2 linked regions of the Canis lupus familiaris genome follow. The protein of the gene in region 1 interacts with the protein of each later gene in a biochemical or structural test. Links are inferred from orthologs where the notes say so. Each region holds a gene or a part of one and is shown in the gene's direction. Other genes may lie near its edges.

The links.
Region 2: the proteins of SMARCA5 (region 1) and POLE3 form a complex in vitro, tested with the Homo sapiens proteins (2 studies listed by BioGRID). The link is inferred for Canis lupus familiaris from reciprocal best matches to the Homo sapiens genes SMARCA5 and POLE3.

What each region holds. Positions count from the first base shown.
Region 1 is NC_049236.1:43,046,495-43,051,745, forward strand, and holds part of SMARCA5 (SWI/SNF-related matrix-associated actin-dependent regulator of chromatin subfamily A member 5), read left to right. Parts: intron 1-1,069; coding exon 1,070-1,296; intron 1,297-3,296; coding exon 3,297-3,418; intron 3,419-3,501; coding exon 3,502-3,654; intron 3,655-5,010; coding exon 5,011-5,143; intron 5,144-5,251. UniProt on the Homo sapiens protein: ATPase that possesses intrinsic ATP-dependent nucleosome-remodeling activity.
Region 2 is NC_049232.1:68,167,216-68,173,043, reverse strand, and holds POLE3 (DNA polymerase epsilon subunit 3), read left to right. Parts: upstream 1-2,498; 5' UTR 2,499-2,600; coding exon 2,601-2,666; intron 2,667-2,769; exon of another isoform or gene 2,770-2,786; coding exon 2,787-2,872; exon of another isoform or gene 2,873-2,876; intron 2,877-3,185; coding exon 3,186-3,304; intron 3,305-3,587; coding exon 3,588-3,760; 3' UTR 3,761-5,145; downstream 5,146-5,828. UniProt on the Homo sapiens protein: Accessory component of the DNA polymerase epsilon complex. Participates in DNA repair and in chromosomal DNA replication.

The sequences.
Region 1 (5,251 bases):
GAATGTAAAGAAATGGGCACATCATCTGAGGAAGAGATGACCACTGTAGACTTTTCAAAGACTTTATAAGGTAGCAAAGCTATTATTAGGCTTGTCTTGTATGGCTCTAAATAACAAAACTATGACATGAATCAGTGTTAAGAGAAATATTTTTTAGTTAAATATTAGTAAACTTCATATCAGAATTGTATAGAAAGGGTTGCCTTGAATAATACTTTATGCTTCATAACTGGAGTTGTTATGCTTGGATTGCTTAGGTTATTGAAGTTACTCTGTTCAGAGGATTCAAGGTCATGAAATTTTTGTATTTACATAGATTGGTCTTTCCTGCAGAATGTTTACATCCTTGATGTGCATTCAAAGCTTTTTATAATCCATCCTTAGTCTATGACTGTAGCTTTACTGCCTTCATATCCCCCCACCAATTTACTTTTATTTGTATTTAAATCACATTGTATTCATTTTATTCTCATCCTCATGCCTTACCCTATCATGATTCCTCCTCCCTCATTAGATCTTCATGTTCTCACCCAAATTCTACACTAGTTACATTGAATAATAATTAAATACTATTGGCACTCCATTGGAAAAGACTACAAATTAAAATTATGTTTAAAACTTCCTTGGGGTGCCTGGCTGGCTTAGTACAGCTTGGGACTCTTGATCTTGAGGTTGTAAGTTAAGCCCAATGTTAAGTTTAGTGATTACTTAAAAATAAAAAATTAAAAAAATATGTGACTTAGGTTTTAAGTTTTGCTTAATTATTTAAAAACATGTTCTACTGCTTTGTTTTAATTCATCCCAGGGAAGCATACTATTTTGGACCTCAAGGTCCAAAGTGTAAGTGTAAACATTAGAACAGTGGGGGAATAAAGAAAAACAGGGAAAAAGAAAGATGTTATAATGCATGGTAATTCCTAACCACTTCTTAGAAGTTGATGGGTTCTTTATAGGTATTTTTGAGTTAAGGTATTTTGAGTTAAGGTAAGGGAGGTAATTAAATGTGAAAGTAACAGGGAAAGTAACCGGGCACATTTGAGCCCTTTTAAAACATTTTTCTTCTCGATAGGTATACTCGGATATTAATGAAGGATATAGATATATTAAACTCTGCAGGGAAGATGGACAAAATGAGGTTATTGAACATCCTGATGCAGTTGAGGAAATGCTGTAATCATCCATATCTCTTTGATGGAGCTGAACCTGGTCCACCTTATACAACTGATATGCATTTAGTGACCAACAGTGGCAAGATGGTGGTGTTAGACAAGCTGCTCCCTAAATTAAAAGAACAAGGTAAGTACGTTACTGATATCAAATTTAGAAGTGATGAAAACTGTTTTACATTTTAATGTAAAATAAAGGATCAATACAATTTAAAATTACTGATCTGGCAAGTTGAAGTATGGGAGGGCATCGAGAAACTTCTATTCTCATTACCCAAACTTCATTTCTGTCCTCAATTTTAGGCTTATACATCTTTTTAGCGATCAGTAGTTAGGGCAGTTACACTCCTAGATTTTGGGGGAGAGTTCTCACTTTATATATATAAAGCATATATATATATATGCTTTCCCAGATTTATAAGCTTTTTTTTTAAAGTGCCAAGAATACTCTTTCCACACATAGTTCCCAGATCCTTTGGTAAACAGTGTTGTGTTCACGGTATTTGTTTTTTATTATTTATGTGGAATTTTTAATTATTTAAATAATTAAATTTAAAAAATAAGGTTAACGGTAATTACTAAATATGTGCATGGACCCAAAGCAGATTTGTTTATAACATGGTGACTTTTTTGTGTGAAAATGAGTACGTCTGTAGTATATATAGAGTTATAGTTAAAATACATGAGTATAGAATGAAATGATTATGATGCCAGCTTCAGTCATTATAAATTCATGGCAAAACTTGTTTATATCTATACCACACTTCTTTTCCTCTTCTGGATTATTTTGAAGTAAGTCCCAGACATCAAAGCATTTCATTCACAAATTATTAATTCTGTGATATTGAAATAATATAGTCAGATTTCAGATTTTTCCATTTGTGTTTTTCCAATGTGTTTTGTTAAGAATGACTTTGTAGGGCAGCCCCGGTGGTGCAGTGGTTTAGCGCCGCCTGCAGCCCAGGGTGTGATCCTGGAGACCTGAGATTGAGTCCCACGTTAGGCTCTCTGTATGATGCCTGCTTCTCCCTCTGCCTGTGTCTCTGCCTCTCTCTCTCTCTGTTTCTATGAATAAATAAAATAAAATCTTAAAAAAAAAAAAAGAATGACTTTGTACCTGTCACCTCTCTAGGATACTAAAAATTAAAAACCTTCTAAGAGTTGTCAGTGAATTGGTTTACTTTTTTCTTTTTTGCTTCTGTGCCTTTTTGTGGAAATACGTTGTATAAAATGCTTTCTTTGAAAACTAAATAGTAAAGGATTGACTTGGAAAGGAATAGCAAGAACTTGGTAGAAATACTCCAATATTAAAGAAAGCTGTATTAAACTCTGGAAGGAGAATGGAGACTATTGAGCATCCTTAGGTTTTCCAGGTATAAGAAGGTGAGATACCAGCAGATTATCAGCTTCAGTTTATAAGACAAGATAATTTCATAATCCTTACTTTTTTATGATGACTTCTTGGTCTTCTATATTCTACTGTGAAGGCATTGCTTAGTTGGCTGAAGAAATGGAGGCAGTTTAATAACTAAAATCATGGCATAGGTAAAAGATGACCATTTAGATGTGAGGCCACCCTTACATTATGGTCCTTCCATTATTACCAAGTCTGGAATTAGGTCTTCAGAACTAGAAGGAGATGGGTTTTGGGTGTGTGTTAGGGGACGTTCAGGGTCATGCACATGGGAGAATTGTGGTGGAAGTGGTGGTGGAAGGTTATTTTTAAATCCATGTGGAATAAAAAGGATTATTCTCTCAGCCTTGGGACAGACCCAGGTCAGGACAGTATACCCTTTTCCATTGATCTTAGTGTGTTGTACAGATATTACATTACCCTTTCCATTTGTGCCACGGAGGGAAAAATGTGGAGAATGACTGACTTAGATAAATAATGCATATATTTTTTTCTTTTTTTTTTTTTAAGATTTCATTTTTATTTATTCATGAGAGAGAGGCAGAGACACAGGCAGAAGGAGAAGCAGACTGTATATATATTTTTTCTTATAACCAACTAGGTAACTTAGAGTTAAGGGGAACTGGTTAGTCTTAGTTTTGGTTAGCCTTAAATTTTTAAATACTTTTTTTTAACTTTTGAAGCTTCTGAAAATGGGCTGTTCTATTTGTTAACAGGTTCACGAGTACTAATCTTCAGTCAGATGACAAGGGTATTGGACATTTTGGAGGATTACTGCATGTGGAGAAATTATGAATACTGTAGATTGGATGGGCAAACACCCCATGATGAGAGACAAGTGAGTAAGATCCAGGGAGGGAAGATAAAAAAATTTAACAGATAAAATAATTGCCTGACATTTGTTTCTTTTTATACCTATAGGAGTCCATCAATGCATACAATGAACCAAACAGCACAAAGTTTGTTTTCATGTTAAGTACACGTGCCGGTGGTCTTGGCATTAATCTTGCTACTGCTGATGTGGTAATTTTGTATGATTCAGATTGGAATCCCCAAGTAGATCTCCAGGCTATGGTAAGAGATAATAGTTAAATATATTCTTAATATTTTCTTAAAGCTTAATTTCGTTAGAGCATACTAATGGTCTGCAAATTTCAGTGACAACCCAGTAGAATTTTTTCTCTGACTTAATCATTCAGGGAGGGTGTTTTATAGGTAATCTTTCATCTAAAGCAAGATATCTCTTACAGCTTTGCCATATCTTGGAGTATAGCTATGTCCAGTGTATCCTGATGCCCCAAGTGGGGGGGATAGAGAGAGTTGAGGATTGCCTAAGAAATTTTTTTATGGTTCAGATCCTAAAGTGTCCCCACATTCATTGCCAGCACTCAATCAGTGTAACTGGGTGCAAGGGAATTGGTAAATGATAGTATAGTTGTGCCTTGGGAGGAAAGGGAAACCAGTTTGGTGAGCTATAGATCTACCATGTTAGATGCTTAAAATTTATGCCCATGTGTAGAAGTTCTTTGGCTAGAACAGGAGGATCATTCTTAGATTGAGAAAATGTATGATCTGCGGATTAATATGGAAACTTATAAATTCTTAAGTTTGATACTTGACACATGGTATTTGTGACCATAACACAGGTGTTGGTTGCTTATAAGAGTAGCTGAGGAAAATTGATCAATTAGACATAGGGATGTTTTGTAAGAATGTGTTTTGTGAACTTAATAGAAGTTAAACGGAATTCAAATTAATTTGACTACTTGTATGTAGTTATTTGAAAACTAGGATTTTTATATTGTTTGTGGAGTTCTTTTTTCATGTTACTTCTTTCCCTAATAGCAATGAAGTTTGATGTATGATTTAGGTGGGAAAACAATTTGAATTTAAAACTAAGAAAAAAAGATTTAAACAATTTTTTATCATCCACCTTAAAATTTATAATTTTATCTGTCTTATCTGGAGATGTGTGAATTTTATTTATTATTTATTTACTTTTAAGATTTTATTTATTTGAGAGAGAGTAGGGGGAGGAGCAGAGGAAGAGGGAGGGACAAGCCAACTCCATGCCAAGTGTGGAGGCTGACTTGGGGCTTGATCTCACAAACCTGGCATCATGACCTGAGCCAAAATCAAGAGTTGGATGCTCAGCGGATTGAGCCACCGAGGCACTCTTAGAAACCTGTGACTTCTATATCAGTATAACCTAGAAGTTTTCCTTGTGAAATAATCAATTAATTTGATTGAAACAGAGAAGCTGCAAGGATCTGAGAAATATTAATCTAATAAAAATCTATTTTTAGAATAGTTTTGTTACATTAAAAACTTTCACACCTGAGAATATTTTAGTTTTCCGTTTTGGTATACACAATCAAGTATTATTTGTGTAATTTTTAACTATTCAAAATAACATGGTAATTTGCCTAGGACCGAGCACATAGAATTGGACAAACCAAGACAGTCAGAGTGTTCCGCTTCATAACTGATAACACTGTGGAAGAAAGAATAGTGGAACGTGCTGAGATGAAACTCAGACTGGATTCAATAGTCATTCAACAAGGTGAGTCTTAGAATTGTAAAAAAAAATTACCAAGTTGTATTGACAAATGTTTTTTTCCTAGATTTTCTGGAGGTTCTTATTATTGACCATCTGTGGGATCAAGCTAGC
Region 2 (5,828 bases), on another chromosome or scaffold:
TTTAGTGCCACCTACAGCCCAGGACCTGATCCTGGAGACCTGGGATCGAATCCCACGTCGGGCTCCCTGCATGGAGCCTGCTTCTCCCTCTGCCTGTGTCTCTGCCTCTCTCTCTCTCCTCTCTGTCTATTCTCATGAATAAATAAATAAAATCTTAAAAAAAAAATACCCAGCAGAAACCAATGGGTTTGCTCAAGCACCAAATCAGCAGACTCACAGTCACATCAGAGGCCTCTGGCTTTCCATTTACTGGCTGTATGGTCGTAGGCAAGTGACTTCAACTCTCTCAGCTTGTTTCCTCATATAAAGAGGGGAAGAAAAATCCCTAAAGCATTAAGAGAAATAATATATTTTTACGTATGATATATAATATAGGATCAACAAACAGTATCATCTTTCTCTCTCTAGAAATATTTTAGGCGATCACTACCACCTGATCCCTAATAACTTTTTTGTTCCTAATAACTTTTTACGGACAGTATCCATTTCTTCTTCCTTTTATCCAACACATTTACTGACTACCATATATGTGATGGGACCTGTAACAGGCATAGAGAACAGTAATGAACAAAATAAGTCCTTGTTCTCAAGAGCTTATAAATTAGACCAAAGAGAGCGCAGCATTGGCATGGCATCACAGCTGCCCTATGACTTGTTTTGCTTGGCCTGCACTTTGAATCTTTTTTTTTTTTTTAAGTGGAGATAGTCCACGGTGTTCAGATTTCTGGTTCCTCTTAAAGATCAAAATATATGACATCACGGCTCACAGTTCCAACTATACAGCAATTGGAGCTGAGAGCCTCCTGGTATCTTTAAACCAGACCTGTTACATCCAAATGGAGTTTCCCCCACCAAACCCTATAATCTCTAACTAATCCAGTTCCAGTTGCTCTTTATCATCACGTTTGCTGGTGTTTTTCTCCTAATAGGGAAGTATTTCTCTGTACTTATGTCTCTGTCAAAAGCTGGAAAACTGGGATGCCCACCCAGTTGGCTCAGGAGGTAGAGCATGTGACTCTTGATCATGACTCTGTGGTCATGAGCTCCAGCCTGACGTTCCCGGTAGAAATTACTCAAAATAGGGATGCCTGAGGGGGCTCAGTGGTTGAGCATCAGCCTTTGGCTCAGATGGTGATCCCCCGGGGCCTGGGATGGAGTCCCACAGCACCAGCCTCTTACAGGGAGCCTGTTTCTCCCTTTATGTCTCTGCCTCTCTGTGTCTCTCATGAATAAACAAGTAAAATCTTAAAAAAAAAAAAAAAGAAAAGAAAAGAAAGAAGAAAAGGAAAGAAGAAAGAAAGAAAGAAAGAAAGAAAGAAAGAAAGAAAGAAAGAAAGAAAGAAAGGAAGAAAGAAAGAAAGAAATTACTCAAAAATAAGTAAATTAAAGACAGCCCAGGTGGCTCAGCGGTTTAGCCTGCCTTGGGCCCAGGGCGTGATTCTGGAGACCCTGGATCGAGTCCTGCATCGTGCTCCCTGCAGGGAGCCTGCTTCTCCCTCGGCATGTGTCTCTGCCTGTCTCTCTCTCTCTCTGTTTCTCATGAATAAATTTAAAAATATATTTTTAAAAAAAAAAGGTAAATTAAGGGTGACATAAGACAGCACATTTTACGGGGGAAAAAAAAAGCATTCGAGCTCAGGGAGAATGAGAATAATTTCTATGCAATGATGCAACCTAAAAGCCAGTGCAACACCATGCTAATGATGCTTGCGACTGGGAAAGACGTATTATGCACAAGTCAACGAAGTAAAAGACACACAGAAGGCTGAGGGTTTGGCTCTGAGTGAACGCAAGGCCGCGCTCTCCTCCTGGGCGGCCCGAACCCAGGCCCGAGGCGAGCCCCGCCCGCGTCTACGTCCCCAGCCTTAGCGCTGCGCCCGCAAAGGAGTTTGCGTGCAGCACTTCCAGGCGACGGTTCTCCGTACTGCGCTTATGGCAAAGCTGGGAGGGGTGAAGAGCTCCAAGACGGACATCAGGTCCCGCAGAACTGAAAAAAAAAAAAAAAAAAAAAAAAATTTTTTTTTTTTTTTTAAAGATACCCGCTTCGCTCCGGTACCGCAGAGCGGGACAGCGGGCCTCGGGCGGCCGGGAAGCCGAATCCGGCCGCAAAGCCCGACGCCCGCGCCGACGCCGAGACGCGGCGAGGCCCCGCCCCGCGTCGGAAGGAGCCCCGCCCACGCCTCCGTCGCCCACGCCCGCCGTTGCCAGGCAACGGCGCAGAGCACTGTGGGGAAGGGACGGAAGCTCCGGTGAGCCATACTTGAGCTGAAGGAGGAGTCTCTAGACGTGGCGGCGGCCAGCAGCAGGGGCACGAGCCTGGGAAGGGGCCGCTGGGTCCCCGGGGGGAGGCCGGACGAGAACCCGGGAAGGCCAACGCCGTAGCGGCGTGCAGAGTTCGGACGCTCGGGCGACTCGAGGCGGGGGCGGGGCCGGGTGCTGAGGGAGGCAATGGCGCGCGGGGCACTGTGGGACGCAGCGTGGGCCCCGGGGGGCGGGACGGAAGCCTCCTTGGGTCAGCGCGCGGCGACGCGGGAAGTCCGGACGCCGGAGCGGCCTGGAGGAGAGGCTCGAGGCGGAGGCGGGCCGCGGCGCCGGCGGCCATGGCGGAGAGGCCCGAGGACCTAAACCTGCCCAATGCTGTCATCACCAGGATCATCAAGGAAGCGGTGGGCAGCCCCGGCTGGCGGGTGGGCGCGGGGCGGACGAGCCGGCAGCGGGGGAGCGGGTCCGGGGTCCGGGTCCCGGGTCCCGGGCCGCAGCGTTACTCACCCGCGCTCTTCTCGCAGCTCCCGGACGGTGTCAACATCTCCAAGGAGGCCCGCAGCGCCATCTCCCGCGCCGCTAGCGTCTTCGTGCTGTACGCCACTTCCTGGTGAGCCGGGCCGGGCGGAGCCGGCGAGAGCTCCTCTGGGGCTGGGGCTGGGGCGGGAGGGAGGGAGGGAGGGAGCCGCACAGACCCCCCCCCCCCCCCGTCCGGTCCCCACTCCGCACCCTGGAGTCGCGAACCCCCAACAGGTGGGCCCTCCCGCGGTGCGGCGGAGGTCGCGCCCTCGTCCAGGGCTCGCGAGGTCTGAAGCAAAATAAAACGACCCTTTTGTGCAGGGAAGGGGAGGGACGCATCCGAGCATCCCTGACCTAGGCTTTGCCCTGCCCCGTTTCACGCCCGAATCTCCCTTTTGTTTCAGTGCCAACAACTTCGCGATGAAGGGAAAACGCAAGACGTTGAACGCCAGTGACGTGCTCTCAGCCATGGAGGAGATGGAGTTCCAGCGGTTCGTCACCCCCCTGAAAGAAGCTCTGGAAGGTAACGTCCCTCTGCTCTGTGCGGCCGAGGAGATGTCCGTCCCGTGTGACCGGCTCACCTGGCCGCGCTGAGCCTTCGCAGCTGGGGTCTGCGTAGGAACAGGAACCGAGTATCTGGTTGCGACTCGGAATCCGTTCGATGGGCGCCGAATCTGATCTGATTTGTGATGCCGAGCAGATTCACTGTTCCTTCCCGGCCCCAGCTTCTCCGGTTGTGCAGCGGAGTTGGCTGCTTGCGGTGGGTTTGGTCCAGCCCTGCCTGCTAACCGCCTTCCTCCTCACAGCGTACAGGAGAGAGCAGAAAGGCAAGAAGGAAGCTTCCGAGCAGAAGAAGAAGGACAAAGACAAAAAAACCGATGCAGAGGAGCAAGACAAGGGCAGAGATGAGGACAACGATGAAGACGAAGAAAGGCTGGAAGAAGAAGAACAGAACGAAGAGGAGGAAGTAGACAACTAGTGGGACGGGAAGACGTTGGCACCTTGGCAGGTACCGCCCTGAAACGTGGTGCGGTCCTGAGAGGCTCTTTCCCTGCTGGGGAGAGTGGGCCTCGCCAGAAGAGCCTGAGAAGATCAAAATAAAAACTGACTAAAATGACCAAAACCAGCGCTTCCGTCAGAGCATCTGAATAGCAGAGTCCCATTTTGCTAAGTCAGTTCTGAAGGTAATGACTTTTTGACGAGAGGGATTCTGAGCGGCTAAATTTAATTAGTCGATTTGATCTCTTATTACTTATATATGTGGTCTGGCAGTTTTTTGGTCCCCATCCATCACCACCACCACCACCACCCCCAAAAAAAAAAAGTAATAATGATTTCCATGCTGCCTGCTGTGTTCCAGGTCACAGAGGCAGTCAAAGCTCAGGAAAAATTGGGGCTTTTGAGCATGGTTGGTCTGTTTTGATTGTATAGGATTTGGCAGTACTAGCTTGTTATAAGTGGTTGGGATGGTTTAGCTTTAGGAAACTACTAAAAGGTTATGGGGGGGAAATGAAATCTGTTGTCTTTTCACTTGGCGTTAACATTGATTGAATTTTTATTTCTCCAGACCCACTTGGCGTGGAGCTCCTCTATGTTGCCTGGTAGGCATTTGACCTGCTGGGGTGCTGTCCTCTGGGTGCATATGCTTCTAAATCATTAGTGTAAAGTGGAACTCGTCAAGCACGTGTGCCAATATCTTACCCCCCCCTCCAAAAAAAACCAGACGGTTTAGTCTCAGATGCACCTCATTGCCTGCCACTCTATGGCTTTAGGATTTATGGTCACCTCCTGGAAGGTATAAAACCCCAGGCTTTTTCTTCTCATAGTCCATTTCCCAGGCTTGTGACTTTTGTTTTTCATTCTTTAATTCATGACGAATTCCAAACTTTATTTCTTTTAGGCACAACTTTCTCCCTCTTGCGTCTCCCTTCCCTGTCTCCCTTCTGCCTCTCCTCTGTTCCCCATTCCCACTTTCTTCCTCCTTTTGTCACATCTCCCAACCCAGGATCTTTGATAACCTGCTTAATGTCCCAAAGTGCAGAAATCTGATGGTGCTCAGGAATCTAATCCCTACTGCAAAAAAATCCATCCCCTTTAACTGCTTCTAAAGTAATTCTGTCGACCTTTCTCAGAGTTGTTTTTTTGTTGTTGTTGTTTTTTTCTCTTGATATTTGGTGCTCCAAGCACTTTTTTGTTTGTCTCTAAGTTGAGCGCTTGGAGGTTGACAGATAGTCAAATGTATGTAGTTTGACACTGTTAATTTGTTTAATGAATATAGTCAAGAGTTTGTTGACAAATAAATGAAGAATGTTGAGGAAAATTATAATGCTTTGTACAAATAAAGAACATTCTTGTTAACAGTGATGACTCCTGTTTCATCTTGCTTGTTTATACTATACTTTGGGGGAGGACCCTCACTGATCATCCCTATATGGTTTTTGGAAGGTAGACTGGGCCAGGTCTTTGTAAATCTGGGATCCTGCATTGCCTTGGATGACCAGCAGATGCTGCTCTTCGACCACGACAAGAGCTTTTCTATGGCTCTGCTGGGCACCCTATGGTTACTAGTTGCTTAATGACTCCATATTTATCGAGTCCCTATTGTGTGTTTGGTACTGTCCTACATGCTTTCAAGTATGAACTCTGAAATCCTATAAAGGAGAACTTTTACCTTCATGATGTCAACCACAATGCTTTATTACCTCTAATCTACATAACTTTCAAGTCACGAGTTTATAAATAACATTCCTTAAACTTGCAAACCCAGGAGTCATTAGATCTGGTGGCTTTTTCCCTGTCCACAGCAGAAACATCCTTTCCTAATTCCCATGAGCATCACTCAGCTAAGTTCTCAAGTCCCTTCTGGACTCCTGTGGCTTCTTTGAACTGTGTCCTGCCACCTGTCTGCTGCCCCCCAACTTCCCCCAAGTACTGCTTGCCAAGTGGATCATCCTGGAACATTGCTATGTTCCAGGCCCTCACTGCTTCCATTTAATCCATACTTAAACCTGGTACACAAAACCTGCTTGAGGGCTTGCCTCACCATC